Linked DNA regions of Macaca fascicularis. The main gene of each other region encodes a partner of the protein of the gene in region 2 in a complex. Links are inferred from orthologs where the notes say so. Each region holds a gene or a part of one and is shown on either strand. Other genes may lie near its edges.

Evidence for each region.
Region 1: ZC3H13 (region 2) and METTL3 share a complex: the UniProt entries of both Homo sapiens proteins name them as parts of the WMM complex. The link is inferred for Macaca fascicularis from reciprocal best matches to the Homo sapiens genes ZC3H13 and METTL3.
Region 3: ZC3H13 (region 2) and RBM15B share a complex: the UniProt entries of both Homo sapiens proteins name them as parts of the WMM complex. The link is inferred for Macaca fascicularis from reciprocal best matches to the Homo sapiens genes ZC3H13 and RBM15B.
Region 4: ZC3H13 (region 2) and CBLL1 share a complex: the UniProt entries of both Homo sapiens proteins name them as parts of the WMM complex. The link is inferred for Macaca fascicularis from reciprocal best matches to the Homo sapiens genes ZC3H13 and CBLL1.
Region 5: ZC3H13 (region 2) and RBM15 share a complex: the UniProt entries of both Homo sapiens proteins name them as parts of the WMM complex. The link is inferred for Macaca fascicularis from reciprocal best matches to the Homo sapiens genes ZC3H13 and RBM15.
Region 6: the proteins of ZC3H13 (region 2) and WTAP are in contact, whole or in part, in a cryo-EM structure (PDB 7VF2), measured with the Homo sapiens proteins. The link is inferred for Macaca fascicularis from reciprocal best matches to the Homo sapiens genes ZC3H13 and WTAP. Residues at the interface, in NP_001317494.1 of Homo sapiens: Arg1512, Pro1514, Gly1515, Ala1516, Ala1517, Leu1518, Lys1520, Phe1521; in NP_001257460.1 of Homo sapiens: Asp202, Glu203, Asp206, Phe207, Gln210.

What each region holds. Positions count from the first base shown.
Region 1 is NC_088381.1:89,173,499-89,178,591, forward strand, and holds the end of METTL3 (N(6)-adenosine-methyltransferase catalytic subunit METTL3), read right to left. Parts: intron 4,606-5,093; coding exon 4,430-4,605; exon of another isoform or gene 4,410-4,429; intron 3,822-4,409; coding exon 3,605-3,821; intron 3,378-3,604; coding exon 3,190-3,377; intron 2,895-3,189; exon of another isoform or gene 2,765-2,894; intron 2,647-2,764; exon of another isoform or gene 2,587-2,646; intron 2,500-2,586; coding exon 2,461-2,499; intron 2,300-2,460; coding exon 2,191-2,299; exon of another isoform or gene 2,143-2,190; intron 2,071-2,142; coding exon 2,005-2,070; intron 1,837-2,004; coding exon 1,724-1,836; intron 1,066-1,723; coding exon 954-1,065; 3' UTR 841-953; downstream 1-840. UniProt on the Homo sapiens protein: The METTL3-METTL14 heterodimer forms a N6-methyltransferase complex that methylates adenosine residues at the N(6) position of some RNAs and regulates various processes such as the circadian clock, differentiation of embryonic and hematopoietic stem cells, cortical neurogenesis, response to DNA damage, differentiation of T-cells and primary miRNA processing.
Region 2 is NC_088391.1:25,181,285-25,185,880, reverse strand, and holds part of ZC3H13 (zinc finger CCCH domain-containing protein 13), read left to right. Parts: intron 1-3,380; coding exon 3,381-3,572; intron 3,573-4,596. UniProt on the Homo sapiens protein: Associated component of the WMM complex, a complex that mediates N6-methyladenosine (m6A) methylation of RNAs, a modification that plays a role in the efficiency of mRNA splicing and RNA processing.
Region 3 is NC_088376.1:114,404,992-114,410,281, reverse strand, and holds RBM15B (putative RNA-binding protein 15B), read right to left. Parts: upstream 3,490-5,290; 5' UTR 3,382-3,489; coding exon 709-3,381; 3' UTR 375-708; downstream 1-374. UniProt on the Homo sapiens protein: RNA-binding protein that acts as a key regulator of N6-methyladenosine (m6A) methylation of RNAs, thereby regulating different processes, such as alternative splicing of mRNAs and X chromosome inactivation mediated by Xist RNA.
Region 4 is NC_088377.1:149,292,699-149,297,294, reverse strand, and holds the end of CBLL1 (E3 ubiquitin-protein ligase Hakai), read right to left. Parts: intron 3,923-4,596; coding exon 2,887-3,922; 3' UTR 409-2,886; downstream 1-408. UniProt on the Homo sapiens protein: E3 ubiquitin-protein ligase that mediates ubiquitination of several tyrosine-phosphorylated Src substrates, including CDH1, CTTN and DOK1. Targets CDH1 for endocytosis and degradation.
Region 5 is NC_088375.1:123,969,077-123,974,187, forward strand, and holds the start of RBM15 (RNA-binding protein 15), read right to left. Parts: upstream 3,514-5,111; 5' UTR 2,634-3,513; coding exon 1-2,633. UniProt on the Homo sapiens protein: RNA-binding protein that acts as a key regulator of N6-methyladenosine (m6A) methylation of RNAs, thereby regulating different processes, such as hematopoietic cell homeostasis, alternative splicing of mRNAs and X chromosome inactivation mediated by Xist RNA.
Region 6 is NC_088378.1:11,231,150-11,235,284, reverse strand, and holds the end of WTAP (pre-mRNA-splicing regulator WTAP), read left to right. Parts: intron 1-1,533; coding exon 1,534-2,117; 3' UTR 2,118-2,827; downstream 2,828-4,135. UniProt on the Homo sapiens protein: Associated component of the WMM complex, a complex that mediates N6-methyladenosine (m6A) methylation of RNAs, a modification that plays a role in the efficiency of mRNA splicing and RNA processing.

The DNA.
Region 1 (5,093 bases), on a different chromosome or scaffold from region 2:
ATTATTTCTTGGACATAATCTAATGAAAAACAGAAAAGCCACCTAGTTGTAACAGCATAAGCAGAAGTTTACAGCACGATAGTCCAAGTGGTGATAACCTTAAATAAAACTCAAATTTTTACTGTCTGTAAAACAGGAAACGCTCTCCTAGAGAACCTCCTCCTCAACCAACCATGTACATAGTTTTATCCTATGCATTCCTGTTTTCTGTGGGGTTTTTTTTGTTTTGTTTTGTTTTTTGAGACAGCCTCACTCTGTCACCCGGGCTGGAGTGCAGTGGTGCGATCTCAGCTCACTGAACCTCTGCCTCCCAGGTTCAAGCAATTCTCCTGCATCAGCCTCCTGAGTAGCTGGGATTACAGGCGCCTGCCACTACGCCCAGCTGATTTTTTGTATTTTTAGTAGAGACAGGGTTTCACCATGTTGGCCAGGCTGGTCTTGAACTCCTGACTTTGTGGTCCGCCCACCTCGGCCTCCCAAAGTGCTGGGATTACAGGTGTGAGCCTCTGCAACCAGCCTGCATTCCTGTTTTTTTAATGATTTTGGAGGGTGGAGGTAGAGATGGGGTCTCACTATTTTGCCCAGGCTAGTCTTGAACTCCTGGGCTACAGTTACCCTCCTACCTTGGCTTTCCAAAGTGCTGGGATTACAGGTGTGAGCTACCGTGCCTAGCCTATAATGATCATTTTAATGTTTCCCATGCACTCATTTAGTTTGAACCCTCACAGCAACCCAATGAGGTAATACTCCCATTTCACATATAAGAAATACTGAGAGATGAGTTGCACAAGATTACACCCTGTTAAGTGGCAGAGCCAGAATGGACTTCAGAATCCCAACTACAATACAAATGTTTATTTAAATAAAGAAGAAAGCTATTGTACAAATATCACTCTTCAGGTTTAGTTTATAGAGCCATGGCTATGGATTCTTAGCTCTGTAAGGAAGTACTTCTATAAATTCTTAGGTTTAGAGATGATACCATCTGGGTACCTTTGCTTGAACCGTGCAACCACATCTGGGTCTAGCAGGTGGATCCCATCCAGTTGGTTTCCAAGGGTGATCCTGAAACGGGAAAAGGAGGAGCAAACCAGAAATCCTGGAATTAGAGGGTTTAATAGTGTTAAAAAATGCATACCAAGTGAAGACTGCCTATCATCATATTAAATATGCCAATTCTTGTAAAAAGAACTTAACATTAGAATAGTATATGGCAGAATGACTAGTTCAGAATTGGCATAGATTCTGGTGTTAAAATAGACTGGATCTGTATTATCTGAGGGTTAGTAACTAAGGCTCAGCCAGGCCTGCTTCACAGAGTTGCTGCTACCAGGGAGTACTCTTTGGATAAGCAAAATGCTAGCAGCATGTGTTTTAAGCTCTATTAAAGGGGTGAAAGATGTAATTATTGACAGATTAAATAGATAACTTGATAACCACCAGGGGCAGATTCAATACATCACAGAATGGCTGAGGAAGATCCTTAGGTTGTGAAGAGAACAGAAACCCTAGGGAGCAGTGCTTTGGGTCCTAGAACCTGTTGAGTTTCTAATGAATATTTGTAGAATCTCATAAAACAGTTTAAATACAAGCTTAAGTGGCTTATGAATCCTCTGAAGCTCATTTATGGACTAGTGGAATACAGTGTGAAGCTCTACTAAGTTATGTCCTTAATCATAAGTAATAGCCCCTTGACGACTAGCCTGTTCTCTGGTCACCTTACCAGTTGGGTTGCACATTGTGTGGTCGTCCAAATAACTCAATCTTGCGAGTGCCGGGAGATAGTCTTTCAATCATGCCATAGATTTCATCGGGTTTATGACTGGTGGAACGAACCTAGGAAATAAAAAGTAGCTGCTTTTTAAGTTACACAAGATTGCAATTCTAGCCCCTTCTATTATGTTTATGATCTAAATGAGAAAAATCTGGGATGAGAATACACCCAACATGAATAACTGATACCAACAGAAATGTGGAAGCTTTGGACGCCTGGGAAGCACATACCTCAGCTACGATCACATCACAATCCAGACCCTGGTTGAAGCCTTGGGGATTTCCTTTGACACCAACCTGCTCACCACAGATAACAGATTACCTTATGAAACCACCTTTTGAACTTTTTCTCAGTAAGAAATCAAATGATTCTTCTTTTGTGCTCCACCTATTGAATTGGGCCCCACTGCTGCTCACCAAGCAGTGTTCCTTCCCATGGTTCAACCAGTGACCTGTACGGCCTGTCCGAATGATGCGTTGCAGTTGATTTGTCTTCACCCAAATAATTTCATCTACCCGTTCATACCTGTGGGGCATAAAAAAGAACTAGAGTTTTAGCCAAACGTACAGTTTAGGGGTAGTACCATTTATAGAAGCAAGGAATCACAGAATACTCTGGGAGAAGAAAACATGTATCTCACTATAACAGTATTACCCTCCAAAGAAAGCAACACAACCACTACTTACCCCCAGAGGTTTAGACATTCTCTCCCCAACTCCATGGCCCTAGGAAGAAATGAGTTGAACAACTATTTGTATGCCCTTATTTTTTTTCCTTCAAAATATATGATGCGTTAAAAACACCATAAACACCTTTTCAGTAGACATTCAGTGAACATTTACATGCACAACACCAAAAGCAGCATGGTGGATCTAAGAATGAAAAGATAAAACAGTATTCTCAACAACCTTACCTTTCTCAAAGAACAAATGTAAAGTTAAATATATATTCAGGGTATAATTTGCATTGTAAATGGGCATTAGGACTCACTAGAAAAAAAGACTGGCTGGGTGTGGTGGCTCACGCCTGTAATCCCAGCACTTTGGGAGCCCGAGGTGAGTGGATCACAAGGTCAGGAGATAGACACCATCCTGGCTAACACGGTGAAACCCAGTTTCTACTAAAAATACAAAAAGAAAAAATTAGCTGGGCATGGTGGCACGTGCCTGTAATCCCAGCTACTCAGGAGACTGAGGCAGGAGAATTGCTTGAACCCGGGAGGCCGAGGTTGCAGTGAGCTGAGATCACACCACTGCACTCCAGCCTGGGCAACAGAGTAAGACTGTCCCCCGGAAAAAAAGACTAAACCAGTCATACATTTAATAGTAGGGCTACGAAAACCCAGGATTTTATCTCCCACTCAGTATTCACTCTGTACTGTATCTGAGCATACCTACATAACTGAATTGCATTACCTGCCTGTGACCCAGAGGAAGAGAAAGCCATCATCCTGTAGTACGGGTATGTTGAGCCTGCGCATCTCATCATCTGTCAGGGTCCCATAGGGCAGCTCCATGTGAATATCCCAGGGTGGGTCAGCCATCACAACTGCAAACTTGCCCAATATACTGACGTCCAGGTAGCGGATATCACAACAGATCCACTGCATAAAGTGGTATTTGGTCATCTTCCCTACTTTAACTCTCAGATTCATGGCCCGAGTCCCTCTTTTCCATTTGATTTTTCCTATTCCCTTACAAGCTTATCTATCCCCCTCCATTCCCAATAAGCAAAACAAGATTGCTGAATTATGCTCTGCTTTCTTAACGTGTATGGCTGCCCTACTCAAAATCTCTTAAGTTGAGACGAGTTTTCTGAGCAGACAGGTACCTGAGGTGGGAAGAGTCGGTCTGCACTGGAATCACCTCCGACACTCTGTGTAAGAGCAAGCTCCTGGCTTGGCGTGTGGTCTTTGCTGCCAGGGGCCTCAGAATCCATGCAAGCATCAATTTCATAGTGAACATACTTGCAGGTATCCATGTGGAAACATGTATTAAGGAAAGAGCAGTCACCTAAAGACTCATCAGTGTGTTTATTGATAATTCGTCTGGGAAAATAAAAAGGGAGAATCAAGATTGTGCTCCAGACGTACATCCAACAGTTAAAATTCCAAATGATTTCAAAATTCTCCTATTTTATTACCCTCCCCTAATTCTATTGCTAGAGCTTTCTCCAAGAGTTTTAAGGGAGGCAGGTAGCATGGAAATCCGTAATTCATACTACAGAACAATTGTAATTCATCTCTCAGTAAAGACTGGGTTTCCTGTTTTACCACTGGAAGGCAAGCAGTGCAGGGGACTTAGTTGGTTAGAACAGAATAAAACACTGACCTAAGAGTTCAGGTTCCTTTTCTCCTAAGATTATCCTGCTTTCAGAGTACTTTAACTTTCACTGTGGCTGAGAGACAGACATACCTTGTTATTCTAAGGAGGGAGCTTTTTCTTTTAAAAAAAAAAAAAAATGTTATTTGGGAGTACAGCCTGTATTCTTCCCTCACAATGCACTTCTGAAAGTATACCTTCAGGGTCTGGAGTACTTACACAAACCATAAACTAAGTAAGATTACAGACAGAACCCCAATGACTGGAAAGAATATGCTGAAAAGGAATGGCTGCTTCTGACAAACCCATCCCACCTCATTCCCTTCCAAGAGACCTGAAGTGCAGCTTGCGACAGGGTCGATCAGCATCACTGGCTTTCATGCACTCCTCCTTGGTTCCATAGTCACAGAATTCTTGCACTTGGGCCCGACCTCGAGAGCGAAATTTTTCAACAATGGATTGTTCCTTGGCTGTTGTAGTATTTAATAGCTCTAGGATCTCCTGACTGACCTGTGACAGAAGTACCCTTGGACTTAAAATGTCTTGTAGATCAAACTGGCTCTTAGACCAACTCTGCAAATTCTTTTTGACATTAATGTCTTACAAGAGATAAATCAGCTAACTTTTTTTTTTTTTTAAGAGATGGGATCTTGCTGTCACCCAGGCCAGAGTGCAGTGGTGTAATCATAACTCACTGTTTCTCCCACTGAACTCCCAGGCTCAAGTTATCCTCCAAGCTCAGCCTTCAATTGTAGCTGGGAATACAGGTGCAAGACACCATGCCAGCTAATGTTTTAATTACTTTACTTTTTGTGGGGATAGGGTCTCACTATTTTGCCCAGGCTGGTCTTGAACACCTCGCCTCAGGTGATCCTCCCACCTCGGCCTCCCAAAGTGTTGAGATTACAGGAATGAGCCATTGTGCCTAGCCCTAAATTAGCTAACTTAATATTGGAAAATTGGAGCCTTCAGATAAGAGATTTGTTAGGGGTTCAGTC
Region 2 (4,596 bases):
TAGAAAACAGTTTTTAATTTCATAAAAAATAGTTGGATTTTTATTTCAAATGCATCAACTTAATTTATAATATTTCCAATATTTTTTACATTTTTTTTTCCTGGGTATCCTCTATTTTTGTTGCCATTATAAATAGTGCTTTTACATTTTGTAAGATAAAAAAATTTTTTAATTATGCATTTACATGGTTCAAAATTTTGAATGTATAAAAGGACATATAGTGAAAAGCCTCCCTTGTACCCTGACCACTCTTTTGCCAGCTTTGTAGGTATTCTTCCCAAAAAACATTTTACGCGAGCAAATAAATATCCATTTGATTTCCCCTCTGGATTTACAAAAATAATTTTTAAAAACAGTGGAAAAATCTATGTACTATTTTATATCCTACTGTTTTCAACCAGTAAAAATAGCTTTCATGTCTTTCTTTGTGGTAAACAGCTATTTTCTTCTTTTGGCACATGTTATCTATTGTAGAATATACCATAAAGTCAGCAAGTGCTGCATTACTGGGTATTTTGGTTTTCTAATCTTCATCTCTTTCAGACAATGCTTTAGTGAATAACTGTGTACATATGTCACTAAATGGTGTCTCTTAAAACATTGCATTTTCTAATGCTTTGTTGGTACATGGAAATGGTAATTGGCATTTGTATATTAATCTTACATTTAAAGGATGTTGCTGTATTTTCTTGATCTAATTAGATTGTCTTAACAAATGTTCCTAGGAACAGACTGATTTGGCTCTTTTCTGATTATTAATTTTCTGTCAGTAACCTGCTGAGCATCTTTATCAATACAGTGTTAAATATAAGTAGAGTGGGCTTTGCTTTGTTTCAGATTTTAAAGGATTGTTGCTGGCATTTTATTACTAAGTATGGTGTTTGTGGATTTTTTGCAGATGCTTTTTATTGCGTTAAGGATTAAGTTCTCTCACCCCATTTTAGTTGTCAGAAAATACTCTGTTGAAAGTCAGTTCTTTGGGAAATGTATTTGTTAACTCTTATTTTGTGGCTCAGTGGTCTGTTTTTGTAAGTGTTCTACATATGCTTTCAAGGGAGTTGCATTTGTAATGGTTGAATGCAGAGTGTGTCTCTAAGATAAAGTTTGTTTAACTACACTTTCAAATCTACATGTAATTTTTCTTAGTCTACTTGTTCTGTCATTACAGAGAGGTGAGTTAAGTCTTCCACTATCATTGTGGAATTTGTAGATTTGTTCATTTCTTCTTATAGTTTGATCATTTTTTTGTTTGAATACTTTGAGGCTTTGCTCTTAGGTACACATAAGATGAGTTATTTATTTCTTTATTCATTATAGAATGACTGTTTATGCCAGGTTCAGGTTGAGCATCCCTAATCTGAAATTCTCCAAAATCTCAAACTTTTTAATGTATTTTCTTTTTTTTCAACTATTGCCACTAGCAACTCTGACAACAGCCATTTTGAGAGCTGACATAACACTCAGAGGAAATGCTTATTAGAGTATTTTGGATTTCCAATGTTTCAGATTAGGGATGCTGAATCAATATAATGCAAATATTCCAAAATCCAAAACACCTGTAGTCCCAAGCATTTCAGATAAAGGGCATTCAGCCTGTATTTTTCTTGAAGATTGTTTTGCTGGCAGCTGTCTTTTGGTTAGTATTTGTTTGATATATCTTTTGCCATCCTTTCAGGCTTTATTATTATTTTTTTTAATGTAACTCTAAACAACATATAGTTTTAGACACATTAAATCTCCTCATTGTATCTTCTCTCATTCTTAACTTGCAAATTTTTCATCTCTTTATCTGTTTTGCCTCTAGGTCATATTCTCAGGCTTAACTTCTAGTTTACCAGTTTTTTCTTAGCTGCGTCTGATTTGATGGTTAACCCATTCATTCCTAGATGTTATAGGTAGCCTTTTTGTAGTCTTTAAAAATGTTTTACATTTTTTCTTCCTGGTCTTTAATTATTAAAATATTTTTCATATCTATTTTGATTATTAAAATACCCATAGAATCATGCTGTAATTCTTTTAGGTCTCAAAAGCCTGTTACATTTATATTCTTTGTGTTTTTGTTTGTTTTTTAAATCTTGGGGAAGTGCTTTTTGATTCTGACTTTGGGTGGGTTAGTTTGTCATATGTTCTTTTAAGTTTGGAGTGAACTCATCTTTGTCAAGATTGATTTGTGGTAATTCTATGAGGTTAAGGGCAGGGCCCTCAGAGTTTCTGTCTGTTTTTGCCAGATATTCCTAAATTATCACAGCCCCAGTACTGCTTCTTTCTCTACTCCTAACCCTCCCTGCTCAAAAAAGGTTTTTTTGTTTTTTTGTTTTTTTTTTATTTCATTTTGTTTTGAAGTAATTAGGAATTCACAGGAGATTGCAAATAAATGTACAGGGAAACTTTGTTTATCCTTCTCCCAACTTCTCCAGTGTTAACATCTAACATCCTACCTGTAGTGTAGTATCAAAACCAAACAACTGACATTGGTACAATCCATAGAGTTTATTCAGATTTCACCAGTATACATGCACTTGGGTGTGTGTCTGTATGTAGCTTTATGCAGTTTTATCATATGTGTAGCCCATTTCCATAGTCAAGATACTCATCTGTAACATCCTAAGATTGCCTTTTATTACCCCCTTATAGCCACAACTCTCGCCTGGCCCCCGGCCCCAACCCCTGGCAGCCTCTTACGTGTCCTTTATCCTGTAATTGTCTCATAAATGGAATAATGCTCTATGTATCCTGTTGAGATTGGCTTTTTCACGCAGCATAATTTTTTCTTGGGGTTCATCCAAGTTGTTGCATATATCAGTCATTTATTTTTATTGCCGAATAGTATTCCATGGCATGCATGTGCCACAGTTTGTTTAATTGTTCACCCATTGAAAGACATTAGTGTACTTTGCAGGTTTTGGCTGTTATGAACAAAGCCACTGTGAATGTCTGTTTCCCACATCTGTTAATGAAAATTTTCACATACAATTTAATGTCATTAACCTTGGTGTTCTATGTTGGAATGTTTTCACTGTAAACTGTATTTAAGCAATAATATATACCCATTTTTTTCATTATTTTTATATATCTGTGAATTAGATATGAAGAAATAGTTTTTTTTTTGGCGGGGGGACAGGTTAACTTTAATGAATCTTATAATTTTATCGTATGACTTTTATATAGATAGAGAAAACTGGAACTTTGTCTACTCAGGTCAGTCATTGGACACCTTGGTTGTTCTGATTCATTGCTTGATACTCTTTTCAGGAGGGATTACCACACTTTGGAATATTAAATATATATATTAGTGGTTTTTAGGAGGAAAGATTGTGACTGATGAAATTTGTTGAATAAAGTGTATGGGGTAAACATTTGTGTGACTGTCCTTTGTTTAGGAAGTCGAAGCTCAAGAGGTTCTCAAATTGATAGTCACAGTAGTAATAGCAACTATCATGACAGCTGGGAAACTCGAAGTAGCTATCCTGAAAGAGACCGATATCCTGAAAGAGACAACAGAGATCAAGCAAGGGATTCTTCCTTTGAGAGAAGACATGGAGAGCGAGACCGTCGCGACAACAGAGAGAGAGGTTTGTCAAACAGAATTTTATTAAATAGTGAATAATATCAATTGGGTGAATTGTTTTTTAAAACAGTTACCAATTTACTATTTAATGTAAAATATATTTTAAGGCTTGTGCTTGATGACACACTTGAAACTATTATATATACTCATATAATCTTTGTTCACATGGTTTGGGAGGGATTATGTCAATAGCTAGTGACCAGTACCTACTGGCAACAAAGTGCAAAAACTTGGGTGCCCTGCTGTGTGTCTCTCATCTTAACCAAATAGCTTACAAACCTTTAAAGTATGTAGATGGTTGGGTTCCATTCCAGGCAATTCTGATTCAATAAATACCTAAACTTCACATCTGAGTATCCTGGCTACTCACTCATTCGCTGTGATCAATAGAATTTTATAAGGACTTTCAGAGAGGAGCAATAAAAAAATTAAAAAAAAAAAACCAATGATAGGGCTAGGGATTGTTTAGAAAAATATTTTATTTGTATTCTATCCTGAGAAGATATGGTATTTGCTTTAGCTAATTTTGCATTCTTATATGTCTTAAGCCAAAACTTTTTCTGTTCATCTATCTGATGATCTCTTAAATCAATTTTGAAGCAAGATTAGGAAGCACTTTTAAGAAGGATGTAAATACTTTCTTTGGCAAGCTTTTGTTTCTGTACTTACTCGGGCCTTTAAACATTAAAAATTTTATGAAGGTCTTACTAACCTTGGCTGAAGTAAGGTTCACTATAATGCCTAGATTAATATAGCATGAAACTTGATGGCCCAGAGAATTGAATATTGATACTTTACTATGGGCTGAATCAAAGAGGTAATATTATATCTTGATTGGTTAGTAGTAGAAGAATAATAAAGTTTCTAAGGCATCGTCTACTTTTGGGAGCATAGATAGGATCAGAAGTAGGAGAATTGATTGGGTTGAGTTTGTATGGTAAGCCTAATGCATTTTGGTTAAAAGATATGTAGAATTTCCTTAGTTACAGATAGGGCTGGAGTTTCTATGTTCTCTTTTGATATCTGAA
Region 3 (5,290 bases), on a different chromosome or scaffold from region 2:
GCTACCTGCTGCCAAACATGCTGAGTGGGCACTCTGTCCAACAGCCACAGCTCAAACTGATGATGGACACACACACCGTTTAGGGAAGAAAAAAACCATCAGTAGCTGCTAACCACAGGCCTTGGGCTCACCCCATCCCTTCCTTTGCATGGGCTCTACTCGGGCTTGTGTGGCAGGGTCCAGAGCCCAAACTGAAGCTTGCCTGTCAGCCAAGATAAAAATGAGTGATTAGAGTCCAGACTCAGCCTGAAGAACTGAGAGGCTGAGAGTGACCTATGCAGCAGTGGTGCTGGAAAGATGACGTAGGACATTCGTGTACATGCACTAGGGAAGTCTTCGATTCTTAGCTTGATTAAACCAGGACTCTGAACAGGTTTAAAAATCCATCCTGACAAAGGTTTTACTGACAACTTTCCATACAGTTGGTCAAAAAATAAAAAAATACAGAACCACAGCAGACAGTATCTTGTACACTAGAAATCAACATAACCGGATTCCCTTCTCATCATTGTTAAAAAAAAAAAAAAAAATTCCCCCAAATTCTAAGAACTTAGTTTTGGTGCTGGACAGGACTTTGATCCCCACCCAAATGAACCAAAATAACCCAGGAGATAATTCAAACCAAAGTGGTAAGGTAGACAGGGGATCAGATTTTTAAAATAACTGCTTTTGTGACACAAACATGACGCCGGGAAAGACAGGCTTGGGCTAGGCAGTGTCTCTGACGATGACTATCACCATGTGTTCTTCTTCTAGTTTGCCCAATGTCCTTAGTGCTGACTGGAGGTACTGCTGGGAAAAGTCGCAGGGTGGGAAGGCGTAGAGCATGCCTGTGCCATCTCTGCCCTTGGACCCCCCCACTGGCAGGCTGATCACCCCTGCGGCCTGCTTCTGTTTCAAGTAGGAGACCAGGTTCCTGAGAAGCCGCCTCTGCAGACCTGGCTCCACTGTGGGCATCCCCTCAGTGCCAAGCCCACTGGGGGTTGCCTGGGTGGCTAAGAGGACCGCATAGCCATTGGGGCTCCCCTGCTTGATGCGTCGTGTGACCTCATCGAGCTTGGGCTGGTCCAGTCGAAGGCGCTGGGCGATCTTCAGCTGGGTCAGCTTGCTCCCAGAAGTGTGGTCTTTGAGCAGACTGCTGATTACCCCCTGATCCCCCTCTAGGATGTGCATAGACGTGGGGAAGCAGCTGTTTTTCAACACCAGAAGCCCATTCCAACCCAGCTGTAGTGTCTGAGCATACTCTGAAAGATTCTTCAGCTTTTTGGTCTCATGTTTTGGCTCTTCAAGAGGCTTGGGCTCGGCCTCCGTGGGCCGGTGATTGCGCTCGCTGTCTCTTGTCTTCTTCCCATGGGAAGAGTCTGCAGCCTCGTGGTGGTGGTGGTGGTGGCCCCGTTCCTCAGCCCCGTGTCTGCTGTTGCTGAGGGAGTTGCTGCTGGACTCCTTGGTCCCTTCACTGGAGTGGTTCTCCTTGCGGCTGCGCTCAGGGGTGCGGTCGGAGCCCCGCTCTGACTGCTGCCCACTGCCCTTGGTCCTGCTCCGTTCCTCATAAGGGGAGTGGGTTGTCCTCCCACGGTCACTGGAAAGGCTCCTCCGTTTCCGCCTCTCTTCCCAGGGCTTGGGCAAACCACGGTCCCCATCTCCCCCCCAACGCTCACCACTCCGGCTGCGCACTGAGCGACTGTAGCCCTCAAGGCTGTTTCGGCGGTCAGAGCTTTTACTGGGGCTGGTCCAGTCCCCTTCCAAAAAAGTCCGGTCTCGGTCTGAGTACAGAAGGTGTGGGGGCGTCCTGTCCCGCACCAGGTCGGTGTCCAGGTTGCGGTGCCGGGTGTATCCATCTGTCAGCAGCTCATAATGCACAGGGAGTGGTGAGGGCTGGTACTGCTGGGGGTACCGAGTCTCCTCTGCTTTGGCAAAATCCACGCGGAGCCTGCGGTCTGGTCCACCCAAGGGAAAACCCCTCATTTTAGCACAGGCGGCCTGGGCTGCATCCAAGCTCTCGTACTGGATATAGGCAAAGCTATCTCCTTTGACGTGATCAATGGTCCGAATGCTCCCAAAGCGGTCAAACTCCCGGGCCAGAGCTGCCAGTGAGGTGTTAGGTCCCAGGCCACCCACCCAGAGACGAGTGGTGGGGTTGGCCTTGCCATAGCCTATCTTAATGGGGTTGCGACCAATCACTCGGCCCGACATGGCCACCTTAGCCCTATGGGCCATGTCCAGGTTCTGGAACTTGAGGAAGGCATAGGCACCACCTTGGCCACGGGCAGGTCTCTTGATGACCACCTCCTCGATGATGCCATATTTCTCGAAGGCCCGTCGCAGCTCCACCTCAGATACGCTGTGGTCCAGGTTCCCAATGAAGAGGTTGCGCGTGGCCCGCTGGTCGTCCTCGGGCATCAGGTCCTCCTCACACACAGTTGGGTAGCCATAGGGGCGCCCACGGTCGTCGTACAGCCCGTAGTAGTCCAGGGCCCGCTCTCGGGACAGTCCCACAGCGGCGGCAGCGGCGGCATCCAGGGCGAAGGCTGCGGCGGCGTGGCGGGCGCGGGGCTCCCGCAGGGGCGGGGCAGCGACGGGGGACAGCGAGCGCTGCTTGTACTGGTAGCCTCCGTGCAGCGGAAGGTAGCCGAGCGGGTCGGTGGGCGCGGGCGGCCCTGGGGGAGGCGTGGAAGCGGCGGCGCTGCTGCTGCTACTTCGCCGACTGCTCCCGCCGCCGCCGCGCAGGTACACGGGCTCTACCTTGAGCGGGCGGTCGTAGAGCAGCAGCTGGCGGGCCAGGGCGTGCTGGCGGGCCTCGCGCGCGTCTTGTGGGTGCCGGAAGTTCACGTAGGCCACACGGCCCAGCTCAGGCGTGTGCGACAGGCGGAGGCTGATCTCGCCGAAGCGCTTGAACTGGTGGAAGAGCCGGTCTTCGAGGTGCTCGGCAGGCAGCGCGGGGCTCAGGCTGCTGATGAGCAGCGTCTTGTACTCAGGCGCGGCTGCGGATGAGCCGGGACCCGCGGGCTCGGCCCCAGGCGGTGGCGGAGGCGGCGGCAGAGGAGACGCGCGGGGCGACAAGCCGGAGGCGCCCGGGTCCCCCGAGGCCTTGCCGCCGCGTCCCCCGCCGCCAGCGCCGGAGCCCGAGGAGCGCCCGCTACTCGCGCGGTGATTCGCGTCCCCGGTGCCGCGGCCGTCGCGATGCCCGCCCCCGCCGCTTCCGCTGCCGCGGGGTTTGTCGCGGGCCCGCGCTGGAACCGGGTGCTTGGCGCCGCCAGAGGCCTTGTGCGCCGCCCGCCGCCCGCCCGCCTCCGCCTCCCGTTCGCGCTCCCGCGGACGCTTGGCCGACGATGACGAGCCGCGCCCGCTCGGGCTAGAGTCTCGCTCGCTCTGCCGCTTCATGGCGCTGGCGCGGCGGGCGGGCGGCCCGTAGGTTTCTCACAGCGGCGGCGGCGGCGGCGGCGGCCGAGGAGGCAGCGCCCCCGGCGCCGCCATCTTGGACAAAAGGACTCGGCGCGGCGGTGGCGGCGGGGCGGGGCGGGAGCGGCGCCTAGGGGCCGGGCATTGCGTTATCAAGCTGCGCCGGCCGTGCCACGTGACCCTGCGGCGGGCGGGGCGAGATCCGCGCCGGGCCTGCCTCATCGCGCAGCGTCGCCCAGTGCCATGTGACCCTGTGAGTGCCGGGTGAGTGGGCCTGGGCCGCGCGCTCTGCCGCCACCGCGCGGCCCGTATGGCAGATGCTTGAGGCTACGCGGAGTGTAGGGAACCCTGAGAGGCCGGCGGGACGACCTAACGCTTTGTGCTCCCTGGCGTGCTTTGCCGCTTTGGGTCCAACTACCTCCTCCTGCAGGCGCTGGAGCCCGCGCTGATTGGAGCAAGAGTGACAGTTTCCATGGGCGTTGGGTCTGGGGCATTAACCCAGTCAGTGGTCTCTTTAGTATCCCCTCAGTCCCAGGACTAGGCTTGAGCAAACCCCGCATCACCCTCCTTGGCTTCTCCTGCCTGGGATCTGGGGTTGACAGCCCCAAGGACTAATGCATGCCCTTCCTTAGCCCCTGTCCAGGATCCAAGGCCCACATTCCGCGCATTCTCCACGTGTAGGTTCACCTGCAGGAGTCCCCGAAAATGCCATGAGGACAATTGTTGTCATTCAGGTAAGCGGAGACAAGCCTGCAGTTGCAGTTCAGTTGGAATAGACTCTCTAACACCACTCTTGGGTCCCACCCTCTTCTGTGGGCATCTGGGCAGACAGCAGGCTGGAAAGGTAGGGCCACAAGAGCTAAGGATGAAGAGGCCATATGCACAGATAGTGCCAGCCGTTATCAGTTTGCCACGCTGACCCTTCGTTGGCCAGTACCCTCCTGTTCATCACCTTCACGAGAACCTCTTCTCCCCAGGTGAGGTGAGGGAAAGGGTGCCCAGGTGCTCAAGCCTATTGAGGAAGCTTTCATTCTCCAAGGACAGTTGCTGGAGCCATGGTAGAACCTGACCCAATTCCCGGCACAGAATCCTTGCGATGGGGAAGAGCACACCAAGTCATGGCATCTTCTCACAATGAGAAAGCAGCTCCTGGAGCAGCTCAGGCAGGTGCAGGGGGAAAGGTCTTGGAAGAAAACAACGGGTTCCACAGCAGCCTGTAAGGCCTCCTACTGGCAAACTGAGCTTAGGAGACACAAGTGATCTGAGGCAAGAGCAATTCCTTGGAAAGCACTGGTTCTTAGTTCGTCCTTTCAGGTGGTTTCTACAGGTGTTTTCATTGAGCCACAGCTCACACTAACAACTGGGTTTCCTAAGCACCAATGCCACAGAGCGTGGCTTAAGAAGCAGACTCCAGAAAAACCCTGGACCTCAACTGTTTGACTAATGTAGGGTAAACAAAGGCAAAAGGCAGCTTCCCACTCCCTCCTTGTATAAGCTGACTCCTGCTAGTCTTGCAAAAACTGGAATAGACATCAGAGGCTTGGAATGGACAAAAAAGCAAGTAGGTGGCCAGGCCAACAGCATTGAGATGTCAGTGCTGACATGCACTGTTATTGAAGGCATCCTTGCGGAAAACCACACTCCACACACCCTGTCTTGCTTGTACTGAGCCACAATTTAAGGCCCTCCAATGTATCCAGACTCACTCCTCCTAAAGCTGTGGCCTCCAGCTCTCTTGGGTGGCTAAGACATACGGTATCAAGGGGCAGGGTATCAAGCCCAGCACCCCCTACCTCCTTTCTGCTGAGGTGCCTGCTGCCCTCTAGTGGCACACACCCAGGCACATCAGCGGGCCCTAGCCCCTATGTCCTGCTCTGGTCTTTTCAGCGCT
Region 4 (4,596 bases), on a different chromosome or scaffold from region 2:
TTTTCCAAAAAAGATTACAAAAGATACTCTTCCAATATATTAGTCAGAACAAAGCCTTCAGCAGTTCTGTATACTTCATACAGCCTCTTATTGAGTTTAAAAGATATGTTCAAATATCTCTTCCATTTACATTTCAGTGGTATTTAATTAGTATTTACACGATAATTTTGAGCAAGTAGTTTTTACAGGGCAAAATGAATATAGTTTCTTATAGTCTTTGCAACAGATATTTCCCCAAATACTGTATATTCTGAATAAACATGCCACTGAAGAAATGTAACATTCAACTTGATGGTTTTAATCTTTTAGAAGTGAACTTAATTATACTGGAGAAAGTTATCAACATAAACATGGAAAATTCTGCATTCTTCCAAATGTGCCAATACATAAAAATTCATCTAGGCAAAATAGTATTTATGCTTCCATTTTATTGTTTTTAAGAATTAAACTGCCACCTCAGTAGTCTTAAGAGCAATATAATGAAACATACATACATTTAATTTAGACTTATGTCCATCATAGCTTCAAAGGCTTCCCTGAAATAAGGCTGGGATTCACATCTTTTTCCGTAAGGAAAGAAGCACTAACAGTAATTTTGTTATCCTTCTACCCACCCACCCTCAAACAATTGATGAATTCAAGTCTAACACGATTTAAAACTTTTGTCTACTACAACATTCATCTGATATGCCTCCCTGCATAACATAGATTTCTTAAACCTAATTGAAAATAAATCATTTTTTTAAAACTCTACAAGAGTTCTCTTAGTTCAAAATTTTATGATACTGATTTTTCTCGTCCAATACATAGGCTAAGTGGTTGCTTACCACATTCAACTCTAGTGACTTTCAATAAAAGCAGGACAGCTCTTCATAAATAGCTGAGAAGCTCTAAAGTGATTTTGGCTATTTTCTTATTACATGGAACAAAGAAATGGTTTGGATTTTTAACAGTAACATTTTAATAGCTCCTAAACAGGGGCATGAAAAGGAATCAAGTTTGCACCAGTCCAAGTACCTACAGTAACATGATAGAAGCACTCACCACCAACATTTCACACTATTTCACTCCCATGCTTTTAATAACAAGCATTTCTCACTAGAAATATTGCATTAACACTGGACTTTCAAACTGTGAAGTGTAGAAAATCACTTGCCTGACTTAAAACAAAAAAGTTTATTAGTTATTTTTGGCCAGTCAAGGTTGAAATGGCCATTTTGTTATTTCTAACTTCTGCTCCTAGGGTTCAGAAATGATTTTGCATCTGATCATTCAAGATGAGAATTTGTTTCACCTGTACCTGACAGAATAAAATGGTAAATTAGCAATCAGTTCACCCTTTGTCAAAAGAAGTATGTTCTAAATGTATATACTACAAACTATCTAATAAATGATATCTGCATACTACACATTTCATGTTTTATTATGCACCATTTTAGTGGGGAGGAAAAACTTCACAGGGATTTATTCAAAGGATATAAATAATATCCTAAGAACGTTGATTTATACACATGAGTTCTGTATAAACTGTTAAGTGGTCATCTTAGCTGAACTATAACAAGCCCCTATAATGTAAAAGCTGACTCTAAAGGCACCATGTAAAGCACTGAAATCCACAATTTAGCTGTTACTTTCCTCTTCTCCAATACAAAATTATCTGGTAGTCTTCACTGTTGACTCCAAGCTAAAATGTTCCAAATTCAGACTGCTTTACCAACAAAAGGAATAGGAAATAAAAGTTTTTAAATTTCAAGTTAGAGGAAAAATTCTATCACACAGCAATGAAACCTGAGCAAATGCAAATTTGTGATTACAAGAATATGTCCTTCATTAATACATTATTCAAATTCCTCCATGGCATTCAAACTGCAGTTGAAAATCCTATAAACAAGAACCCACTTAAACACAGCATCAAACTCTACCATGAAATGAAGAATTACATAAAGCCTATTCAGCCCTATTCAGTTTAAGACAATGAACAAAACAGAACACATTTCATCTAAATAACACCATTTAAACAGTTCTATAAAATAATGTTACTTAAGATCAGTATGTGTGGTGCATATGTGATTCCGACCATTCAGTAAAAAAGCATTAATGAGTAACAGCATTCCCCACCAGCTTGAAGCCTGTAGAGTTGATTACTTTGGCCATCTCTTTCCAAATAATTAGTAATGCCTTTTAACATTACAAACAAATATATCTTAGTACTAGAATTCCAATGTATTTTGGTGCTCCTGAGGCTGCCTAAAAATGAAAAGGCATCCAAGTGAAGTGCATTGTATACTTACTATACCTCGAAACCTCAACATTTCAGTGCCTAAAATGTGAAATAACTCTCTATCATTTAACAGTCTGCCTTACAGCAAATTCTAGATTTTTGCTTTTAGGATTTTATTATAACTTTGGGAAATTAGTGGTAAAACATATGGTTTAAAAAACAGTATGTGGCTGCACTTAAATTCACATAAAAATAGCATTTTTACAATCTTATTGAAATTTAATCCTTTTACACAGGTTAACAAAATGTATCACAAGAAAAACTAAACGTTGGGTTTAACAAAACAATACTTTTGAAGTAAAACAATGAAAAATTTTTTCAAATTTTTTACAAATGGTCACCTCTGGGTCAATTTACTAAATTAGGGGAATAAAGATGTTAAAATATAGCTGTGCTCAACTGAGCCACTTATCTGTACTACAGTATGGTACTTGAAATCAATCTTAAGGTCAAGATTTAAAACCATTTTAAGAAACAAGACCCTATGTGTTTTATACTACCTCGGTAAGAGGTACTCTTCCTTCCCAAAACAGTCAAAGCTTAATTAAAAGATTGACTATACATAGTTTTTTTCCTCCTCATATCTTCAGTTCAAAATACTATTATCATTGGTAATACGGTCTATATCTCGTCTGATCTGGATGATGTGGTCCAGGAAGTGGGGTTTGAGAAGGCGGACCCTGCAATCGTGGAGGAGGAGGTGGCCCTCTTGGTGCAGGCCATATACCAGGACTCATTCCCCCTGGTTGTGTAAATGGAGGGCTCAGAGTTCCTTGATCTTCAGTGAATTGGGGTAATGAGTTAGGATTATAATGGTGAGGAGGGGGTGCAGTTACAGGTGGACCACCATGTTGAGGTGGGGGAGGTCCTGGAGGAGGATGATTCATATAAGGTGGCATCTGGGCAATAATATGTCCAGGGGGAGGGGTTATTGGTGGTGGAGCAGAGGTCATTGGTGGAGGTGGAGCTTGGCTATATACCAAGTGAGGAGTACCTGCAGCCTGGGGAGGATGTGGCATTGGATGGCTTATTGGTGGTGGAGGAGGTGGGGGTGGTGCATAATGTTGCTGTGGAGGCATAATATGATGAGGGTGCGATACCACTGGTTGACCCTGATATTCAGGATGATGGTGAGCAGGTGCTGGGGCAGGAGGTGGTGGTTCTCTAGCACCTGAATTTGAGTCATCCTGAATAGGGACGGTTATTAAATTGCTGTGTTTTCTTGTTGAAATACGAAAGGTTTCCTGACTGACCGATCGAGGTGGAGGTGGAGCCATGGACAATTCTGCTGGAGGAGCACGAATATCCTCATGTGGCTGATTATAGTGCTCATGCGGCACATGTTGCAAAGGAGGTGGTGGCATCATGATGTGCTGCTTTGGCGGAATATGGCTCATATGGTGCTTGTCTGGTGGCATTATAAAACGCTCAGGGATTTCAGTTGGTGGTGGGGCAATAGGAGGATGAACATTTTCAAGTGAAGCACGGGTAACAGGTTTTCCAGCTCTCATATGGCGATGGTTGATATGAGCCTGTAAGTCTCTCTGAGACAAATACGTTCTCTTGCACCCTTGAACAATGCTACACATGAAGAGAGAACCTCGTGTACACTGCTCAATTCGCTGCACAGGATCACTACAGCTAAATCAGAAGGGGAAAAAATGTGATTTACTAAAAGAGAACATAAAAAATTATGTAATTTTCAAAAATATGCCTCTTAAAAATTTGACTGTTACATAAAACATAGCAAAAGTCCACAATTAGAAGTTACAGTTATTCTACATGAACCTTTAATCTTCCCTACTTTGTTGTCTATTAGCCATTAAGCATAGGCATTTCTGTCATCTTCAGAACTCCTAATATCAAACAATATGTTTCAAGAAGAGACCTCATTCTTCCCAAGGCCTAGAATTTAGCTAATTTTCTCAAACAATTCTACGTTTTGCATCCATTTGCCAAAAAACCCAGCAAGAAAAAAACCAACGGGTTGATTACTTACAATCATGGAATTCAAACTTGTATGGTATTATTGAGGGATAACTGTTTGTTGAGCAAACAGTGGAAAACAGTAAGTAGAAAACAGTAAGCAGAAGACACTGCAAGGACTACAAGAAGTAACATCAGCCTCATCATTAGGGTTCTTAACATTAAACATAAACTATTTCAATCTAAGCCTGGACTATTAAAAGTCCTTTAAGGAAGGGTTTTTTCTGAATTGTCAGGCAAATTTACACTTTCCTAACTTTCTAATTTGTGAGCACTAAATTTAACTTAACATTTTCTTAAAAACTCAGGGTCAAAATTGTAACTATTTT
Region 5 (5,111 bases), on a different chromosome or scaffold from region 2:
GATGCAGCTGAGGAAGAGGAGGACCGGCTGTCAGAACTTCCAGGCACAGCCAGAAGAATGGCATAACCATTGGGCCCTGCTACTTTGATGCGTCGAGTTACTTCATCCAACTTGGGCTGGTCCAAACGGAGACGCTGAGTGATCTTGAGCTGGGCCACTTTGCCTCCAGTTGAACCCTCCACAAGAAGACTACTAGCCACTTGGAGGTCACCCTGCAACAGATGCATGTTGGAAGGAAAGTTGCTGTTCTTCAGTAGAAGCATGCCCTGCCAGGCCAAACAGAGTTTGGGAGAGGCTGCTGCCGCAGGGGCTGTCCCCCCATCCTGTTTCTGGGACGGGGACTTCAGCTTGCAGGAAGCAGTGCTGGTGCTAGGTGCACTCCCATCAGAGCGGTCTTCTTTTTTCAGAGGGCTTTTTCCCTCAGTGGGAGCAGTTGTCCGGTGCTTCCTATCTCGTTCAGCTGATGCAGAGTTTTTACGGTCTCGCTTGTCACCCTGGCTCTTCTCCAAACTACCTCGTCTGTCTCTGATTGGAGAGGGCCTTTCCAAGAGAAGACGGGAAGATCGATCATTGTCGCTGTTGTAACGATCCCGGCTACTGCTCAATTCTGGACTGCGGTCAGGAGAAGGAGCGCAGTGACGTTTTCGTGGGCGGTCACTCTCAGGAGACCTATCCAGATGACGTCCTCCACTCTCCTCAGGCAGCCTTCGCTTCCTAGGCTGGTCTCTGCTGCTGGGCAGATCTCGATCACCTCTGTCCCGGTCCAAGGACCAACCATCCCGCCTGCGATCAAGGCTATCCAGTGGCTCGTAAGCAGGCACAGAAGTAGCTGCAGTCCGAGTGCTGCGTTCTCGGACTGGGGGTGGGGGTGGCACCCAATCAGAGTCAGGATAAAGGTCCCTATCACGATCTCTGTATAGTAAGGGTGGTGTCCTATCCCGAGCACCCCTCAAAGGGTCAGGTGCCCGATGTCCAAAAGCATCTGTCACCAGCTCATAATGAGTCAAGGGCAGAGGCTGCAGATACTGCTGCTGGTAACGATGTTCGGTGTCGGCAAAGTCTACTCTAAGGCGTCGATCTGGGCCACCAAGTGGGAAGCCCCGCATATGGGTCCAGGCAGCATGCGCTGCATCCAGGCTTTCATACTGGATATATGCCCAACTATCACCTTTTCGGTAGTCTATGGTGCGTATGGTGCCAAATCGATCAAATTCTCGTGCCAGGGCAGCAAGAGGAACCCAAGGTCCCAGGCCTCCCACCCAGAGGCGGGTGGTGGGTGTAGCTTTACCATAACCAATTTTGATAGGATTCCGAATTATAATTTTGCCGGACATTGCTAATTTGGCCCGGTGGGACATATCTAAGTTCTCAAATTTGAGAAAGCCGTAAGTACTAGTCTGGCCGCGAGAAGGCCTCTTGATATCTACTTCTGTGATGACTCCAAAGCGATCAAACGCCCTTCTTAGATCATTCTCCGTTACAGTGATGTCTAGGTTGCCCAAGAAAAGCGTCCGGTTAGCTCGCTGATCATCCTCGGGTGAAATCTCATCCACTTCTCTGAAAGGAGCAGCACCTGCTCCAGCTCCCACCCTTGGCTCAAGACTGTATGCAGGGCGCACTCTCTCATAGAACGGGTAGTCTCTTTCTCTCTCCAGCTCTCGAGGCAATGGTGGCGGAGGTGGAGGGGGCAGGCGGCCAAGAGCCAACTGCTGCAGCCGGTAGTCTCTGTATCCTAAAGCAGCGCCACCAGGGGAAAGTGATCTCTGGCCTCCACCACCTCCAGGGGGGTGCCGGTGACCACCTACAGAGGCCCCGACCACGCTGGCTGAAGGAGGATAAGTATCTTTGTCTAAAGGGGAGCGGCTGCGGCGCCGGCTCACATACACAGCTTCTATCTTCAGAGGCCGGTCATAGAGCACCAGGCGGCCTCTGGCATGCTTGGCCGCCCGCGCGTCCTCTGGCCGCCGGAAGTTCACAAAGGCTACCCGCTCATCCCCGCTGCCAGAACCCGACAGATGACTGATTTTGACACTTACATCACCGAAACGTTTGAACTCATGAAACAGGCCGTCCTCCACCGCTTCGTCACTAAGCTGGGACCCCAACTCGCTTATCTTCAGAGTCTTGTATTCCGCGCCGTCCCCGCCGCCGGGAGCTGAGGAGGCGGCCCCAGAGGAACGTGACTCCCCGCCTCCACCCCGGGAGCTGCTGCGCGACTCGCCCCCGCCCGAAGAATTTTTGGTGCTCGGGGAGCTATAACTATGCAAGCGGCTACTGGAGCTGCCCCCACCGGTGTCATACTCGCGGCTGCCACCTCGACTGCTGGACTTGTCCAGGTGGAGACTCCGCCGCGACCCGCCGCCGCTATCGGTCTTTCCGCTGCTGCTCCCATTGCTGCCACCAGAGCCCCCTAACTTCTTGCTCCGCTCTCCGCGGGAAGTCGAGTCCTCACCACCACGGGAGCGTTTGGCCTTGACTGGCGAGCGCTCTTTTCCCTTCATTGTTGCGGGTCCTCGGAGGTCGTCTCCGCGGAGCTGATCAACCCGCCGCCCCGCGCTCGTTTCACACAGCGGAACCGCACGCCGCCATCTTGGACTCCGCCGCGGCACAGGGTCCCGCCCCGCAGTCCTCATTGGCCAATTAGCTCTCTCTTCTACAGTCTCATTGGGAAAATTATTTGTCTATCTTTACATCTCCCCGCGCTCCAGGAAGGCGCCCGCCCAACCACTGTTATTGGGTTCCCAACCCCCTAGTCAGAGTACCTCATTGGTTACATTTGTTGTCTATCTTAACGGTTCCTCGCGCCAGGCTGTAGCTCCGCCCCTCGCACTCTGCGGTCACGTGACCCAAAGTGTAGCTGTGTTGATTGGACAAAAAGTCTGCCCTGTAACGGTACTTCTTGCTCAGTGAAAGCAGCAACCCCGCCTCCTCATCCCTTTCATTGGCTTGTAAACCCGTCCTTTAAACCACTATTTGGGAGGTGGGGCCAAGTTTCGGCGTTTTTCCGAGAGGCAGGCTCACAGCGATATCGCGAGAGACGGTGAGCTCCCTCTTTCGACCCCCTTTTTCCAACTCCTCCGGCGGCTAAAAGAAGTTTAAATCTGATTGGATGTCTGCAAGGAAGTTGATAGGCTGAAGTAACTGTCCATCACTCGCTTAAAGGGGCAGGCCCATATAACGGAGGAGGCTGACTGAAGGTGAAAGACTAGAACACGTGCTTGCTATGCGACGTCACTTAGATGTCGCGAGAGGGTGACTGTGCGCCAGCCCCGCCTCCCCGCGTTTTTGGCGTTCTCCCCACAAACATTTGTTAAGTTCCGTGGGGTATTTGGCTGTGCTTCGGCCCTTGGAGTTCGAAACTTCTGAGCTCCCCGCCGTCCTACCTGTGCCGGCCAAGGGGCGGGGCAGACTCTCCGGCTGTCGGGGCCCTCCAGTCCCTTAGGAAGCCGTCCTGGGACGCCTAGCGGACACCATCTTATGTCGCTGTGGTAGCTGAGTGCACAGCCGGGGGAAGCCCCGCCCCCCGCGCGCGGGAGAGCGATGCCCGCGGTCACCTGGGCCCGCGGGGCAGGGAGTTCACGGTTCCTGCAGCCCCGGGTCACGCTGACGCCCCGGGGCGGTGCTAACACGTAACACGCGGGACCTCGAGAGCTAAGCAAGGTGGCTAAGACGCAGCCCTAGCCCAGGAGCTTGTCTCCCCCCGGCGCTCCCCGTTGCCGCCCAAGTACTCTGGGCAACCGAGGGGAGTGACCGTCGATCCCCGCCTCGTGGCCCGCGGGCGGAGCCGGAACTGTCAGGACACCGCGGACGTGTCTTTGGGCTGCCTGTTTTATGTTGCGAATCTGTGTGGATTTTTAAATCCGGTATTCCCGTAAAATAGCAATGTTTGTTTTTAATATGTAATGCTTCTTCCCTGAAAATCATCGAGCGAAATTTAGGCTCCATGCAGATATGTCGCTTTTTATTCCCCCTGTGGCTTCTTGTATTCCTTGGCACTCCTCTTTTTGTGTGTTAAAAGCCAGCAGCACAGGCACCTTGTGGCGGCTCCGGATCCACCTCGTTTGGCTCCTTCTGTCGTTCGCCTTACAACTTTAATTTCCATAGAGCGTTACTGTGGCGGACAGAGCACCTGTGAGAGGTGCAGGCGATGCCGAGCTTAGGGGGATATGGCCTGTGCCTCAGCACTCGCCGGTTGCTGCAGGGACGCAGCGCTGAGGTCACCACATCCTTTAGACCGTCTGCAGCTCTCCCGGGTATGCGCCGGGGCGGAGGTTATATTGATCCCGTCCTCAACCCTATTTCCCAAGATCCAATCTATAGTAGAGGTGTGAGGTGTTTTTAAACATGACATTTTTCAGGGTAACAATAATGTCCCAAAAGCTGAAACCTAAACTTGAAAACTGTTAATATTAGGAACTGTAACCTAAATTTAGCCTTGGCTGAGCCATCCTTCTTTTTGTAAATAATCCTGAGGAATATGAAGCTGTAGGCCTTTTATCTCTTGAATAAATCAAAGAAACTTGAAGGAAGAAGCTCAATTGTAAAGCATAAAAATCCACAATATTGTAATGTGTAGACATATTCATTGTATTAAAATAGGAAATAAAACTTCAGAAGGCATAAAATAACGTGTATAATACGCTACCATTTGTGGTTTTAAAAATATTTGTATTTTATGAGTATGTACATTTAAAAATATTTTCGTGGAAACTTTCTTGACAACTACGTGGGAAATTGTTCCCAGGATTGCCCTGAGGAGGGGTGTAAGGATCTGGAGTCGGAGGGAGACTTCACTTTTCTTTGTAGAAATCTTTTGTTTCTACAAAGGGCGCACTATTACTCCTTCAGTTTAGAAAATATCATTTTTAACTTTCCTTAAACTATTTTTATAGAAAAAGTTTAAAATACATAAAAGAATAAAGAACTCCCACGTGTACCCAACACCCTACTTCAACAATTATCAAATCATGTCAATCTTGTTTCATCTGCATCACTCTTCCCACTCTTCCTTTCTCCATTGTTTTCTTCCAGACTTACCTGATATACATTTCCTGCCCCAGTTGTGGAGTCAGCCATTTCTCCAGAGAGCTCTGGTTCCTTTTAGTGGGAAA
Region 6 (4,135 bases), on a different chromosome or scaffold from region 2:
CTCCTGTTTCTCCTCTCTGTTTTTTTTTTTTGTTTTTTGTTTTTTTTTTTAAGACAGGGTCTCACTCTGTGTTACCCAGGCTGGAGTGCAGTGGCGTGACCTCAGCTCACTGCTACCTCCACCTCCCGGGTTCAAGCGATTCTCCTGCCTCAGCCTCCCAAGTAGCTGGGATTACAGGCGCCCGCCACTGCTCCCGGCTAATTTTTGTATTTTTAGTAGAGATGGGGTTTCACTATGTTGGCCAGGATGGTCTCGAACTCCTGACCTCAGGTGGTCTGCCCGCCTCGGTCTCCCAAAGTGCTGGGATTACAGGCGTGAGCCACCGCACCCAGCCTCTCCTCTCTGTAAGGTGCATTATTAGTAAGGAAAATATCCAGATTCTTGGAAATTTTAAATTGAAAATTAGTGTCTCAGGTTAATTGCAAAGATGATCAGTAGCCAAGTAATTTCTTCTAAACCACCTACCTTTTCAAAATCTTCAGGAATTATTTCCTGTGACTTTTGTCCTTATATGTATAACAGTCCTTGGTTGAGAACATGGGCCTCTTTGGAGTGTTATAGAGGACCACGCTGCCCTTAAGGGCCAGAGCTGCATGGAACTAAGGCACTGGGTCAGGAATATGGGGACTGGCCATAGTGGGTCCATAGGTAAACGTGAGTCAAACTTTGGGGCTGTAATCAGGCATATGGCAAGATGGACTAAAACAATTCTAACTTGGTTGCTTAATACAGTTGCCCTCGGTATCCATGGTGGATTGGTATCAGGACCTCCCACAGATAAGCCCCTCATATAAAATGATGTATTTACATACAAACCGATGTACATCTTCCCATTTGAGCCATCTCTAAATTACTTAACAGTACCTAATGCAATCTAAATGCTATGAAAATAGTTGTTTTACTGTATTGTTTTGGGGATAATGACAAGAAAAAAAAAATCTGTACATGTTCAGTATAGACCCAGTTTTTTCTTCCTTGAATATTTTCCTTCTACAGTTGGTTGAATCCATGGGTGCATGTGGAGGGCCAACTGTGTATTATTTTAAGTATCTGACTTCCCTCAAAACAAACTCAGTCATATTTTAAGATTCCAAGCAAAATTGTTAAATGTAGTGCGATTTTAGAATTGTATTTGTTGGCCAGGCGCAGTGGCTCAAGCCTATAATCCCAGCACTTGGGGAGGCCGAGATGGGCGGATCACGAAGTCAGGAGATCGAGACCATCCTGGCTAACATGGTGAAACCCCGTCTCTACTAAAAAATACAAAAAACTAGCCGGGCGAGGTGGCGGGCGCCTGTAGTCCCAGCTACTCAGGAGGCTGAGGCACGAGAATGGCATAAACCCAGCTGAGATCCGGCCACTGCACTCTAGCCTGGGCGACAGAGCGAGACTCCGTCTCAAAGAAAAAAAAAAAAAGAATTGTATTTGTTTACTTAGGCATTTATTGACTGCCTTGCTTTGTGGCAGGCACTAAAGAAACATTTTTCAATGTTATAAGCGATATTAAACTTGGTTTGACTCTCCTTTGCACAGAACTGAATGACTTCATCATCCAGCTTGATGAAGAAGTAGAGGGTATGCAGAGTACCATTCTCGTTCTGCAGCAGCAGCTGAAGGAGACACGCCAGCAGTTGGCTCAGTACCAGCAGCAGCAGTCTCAGGCCTCTGCCCCAAGTACCAGCAGGACTACAGCTTCTGAACCTGTAGAACAGTTGGAGGCCACAAGTAAAGACTGCAGTCGTCTGACAAACGGACCAAGTAATGGTAGCTCCTCCCGCCAGAGGACGTCTGGGTCTGGATTTCACAGGGAGGGCAACACAACCGAAGATGACTTTCCTTCTTCTCCAGGGAATGGTAATAAGTCCTCCAACAGCTCAGAGGAGAGAACTGGCAGAGGAGGTAGTGGTTACGTAAATCAACTCAGTGCGGGGTATGAAAGTGTAGACTCTCCCACGGGCAGTGAAAACTCTCTCACACACCAATCAAATGACACAGACTCCAATCATGACCCTCAAGAGGAGAAAGCAGTGAGTGGGAAAGGTAACCGAACTGTGGGTTCCCGCCACGTTCAGAATGGCTTGGACTCAAGTGTAAATGTACAGGGTTCAGTTTTGTAATATTTTTTCAGCAAATTTTTATACAGTGTCATTTAATTTGGGAGAGGATACTGTCCAGAAAATTAATGCAAACTTTTGTCACAATTTGCCTTTTTGTGGGTGTACGTTTTGGTTTTTTGTTGTTGTTTTCTCTTTGTTTTTTCTTTTTTTTTTTTTTTTTTTTTTTCTTTTTTTTGCTTCAATACCTCTGCCACTTTGGAAATTGTAACAGTTAATTACTTTGAATGTTGCTAAAAGAACATTTTGTGTAGGGTCAAGTTATTTTTATATGAGTTAATGTGAAATTGTAAATGGAAATTTTTCCTTAAAATATAACACAATGACGTCTGTATAAATCTATGTCTGTTTAGAACCTGTGCTGTGTAAGGGCATTCTTCCTCATGCTGTTACTGTACTTATGCACCATTCAGACTTGTTAGAGTAGATGTGGGTTTATGACTGCCAAGTTTGCCCAGTACAGTAGTTTTTTATCACTAAAAGTTGGACTCATTGATGGAGTCCTGTAGTAGTTTCAGTGTTAGATACAGTTTTTTCCACCATACATCTGTGCATTTTCTCTTTAGGTGACTGAATGTTTAAGAAATTTGTGTGCATAGTTACTCAGTTTTTATGAACTGTTGTATCCTGTTAATGCATATTGCTCTGTGACTCCAGTATATCTTACCTGTACTGACCAAACCTAAATAAAGATTTTTATTGTAACTCCTTAATTAGCGTTTTTGTTTTGTTTTGGGTGTCTGTTTAGCATTTGTCATTGATTTTCACTGAGTCACTGAATTTCTACTCATTATCTTTCAAGTACTACAACAGTGAAACTTAAGACTAAGCATCGATTTTGATTTTGCACTTAATTTTTAATTTATGCCTTATTTTGCAAAATGGAGCTGGAGTTTAGGTCTACACTTAAAATTTTTTCTTGACTTATAATTGTTACAAAATATTTGAAAATACAGAGAAGTATAAAGAAAATAGTCATCCAAATATTTCTTAGGGGTTTTTTAATTTTTATTTATTTATTTTAAATTGAGACAGGGTCTCACTTTGTCACCCAGACTCAAGTGCAGTGGCGCAGTCATGGCTCACTGCAGCCTCCAAGTCCTAGGCTCAAGTGATCCTCCCACCTCAGCCTTCTGAGTACATGGGACTATAGGCATACACTACCACACCCAGCTACATTTATTTTATTTTTAGTAGAGACAAAGTCTTGCTGTGTTGCACATGCTGGCCTCAAGGGATCCTTCTGCCTTGGCCTCCCAACGTGTTGGGATTGCAGGAGTGAGCCACAGCTCCTGGCCCTTTTTGAGTTTTAATTGAAAAGCAGGATTTGTTTTTTGTGACCTGATTTTAAGTAGAGTATCTTTGTAGTCAGTGATGTTTGTTTTAAAACACTTGCCAGTACTACTGATTTTTACTAACAACATACCTGGTAATATTACATGAGTAAGGGGTGTTAGAATGTAGGTAGGAGAGAATGTTTTTAAGGTGGAAGAATCTCAAAGTTTGCTCCATTTTCTCAGAGGTAATTAAGTATAAAGTCTATGATATTGAATGGCCTTAAAAATGTGTAGCTTTCATATATGGTTGAAATAAAATTCCATTTCTGCTAAAAGAAAAAAGTATTGTTTTAGACATAAAAAGTATTGTTATGTCTAAAACATAAAAAGTATTGTTTTAGACATAACTTGTAATACAATCCAGGAACCCTGGAAGTGGAATTATAATACTTGAAAACTGAGGTACAACTTATTTGAAAGTAACTGCTGCTTTTGCTTGTTTAGCTGATACAGGTATGTCCAGTCTTCAGAAGTATATTAAATACTGTACTTTCTCTTGATTAACCTTTTCTTTTCTGTTTTTTGTTTTTTGTTTTTTGCAACAGAGTCTTGCTCTGCCACCCAGGCTAGAGTGCAGTGGCACCATCGCGGCTCACTGCAACCTCCGCCTCTCGGATTCAAGCAATTCTGCCTCAGACTCCTGAGTAGCTGGGATTACAGGCACATGCCACCATGCTTGGCTTA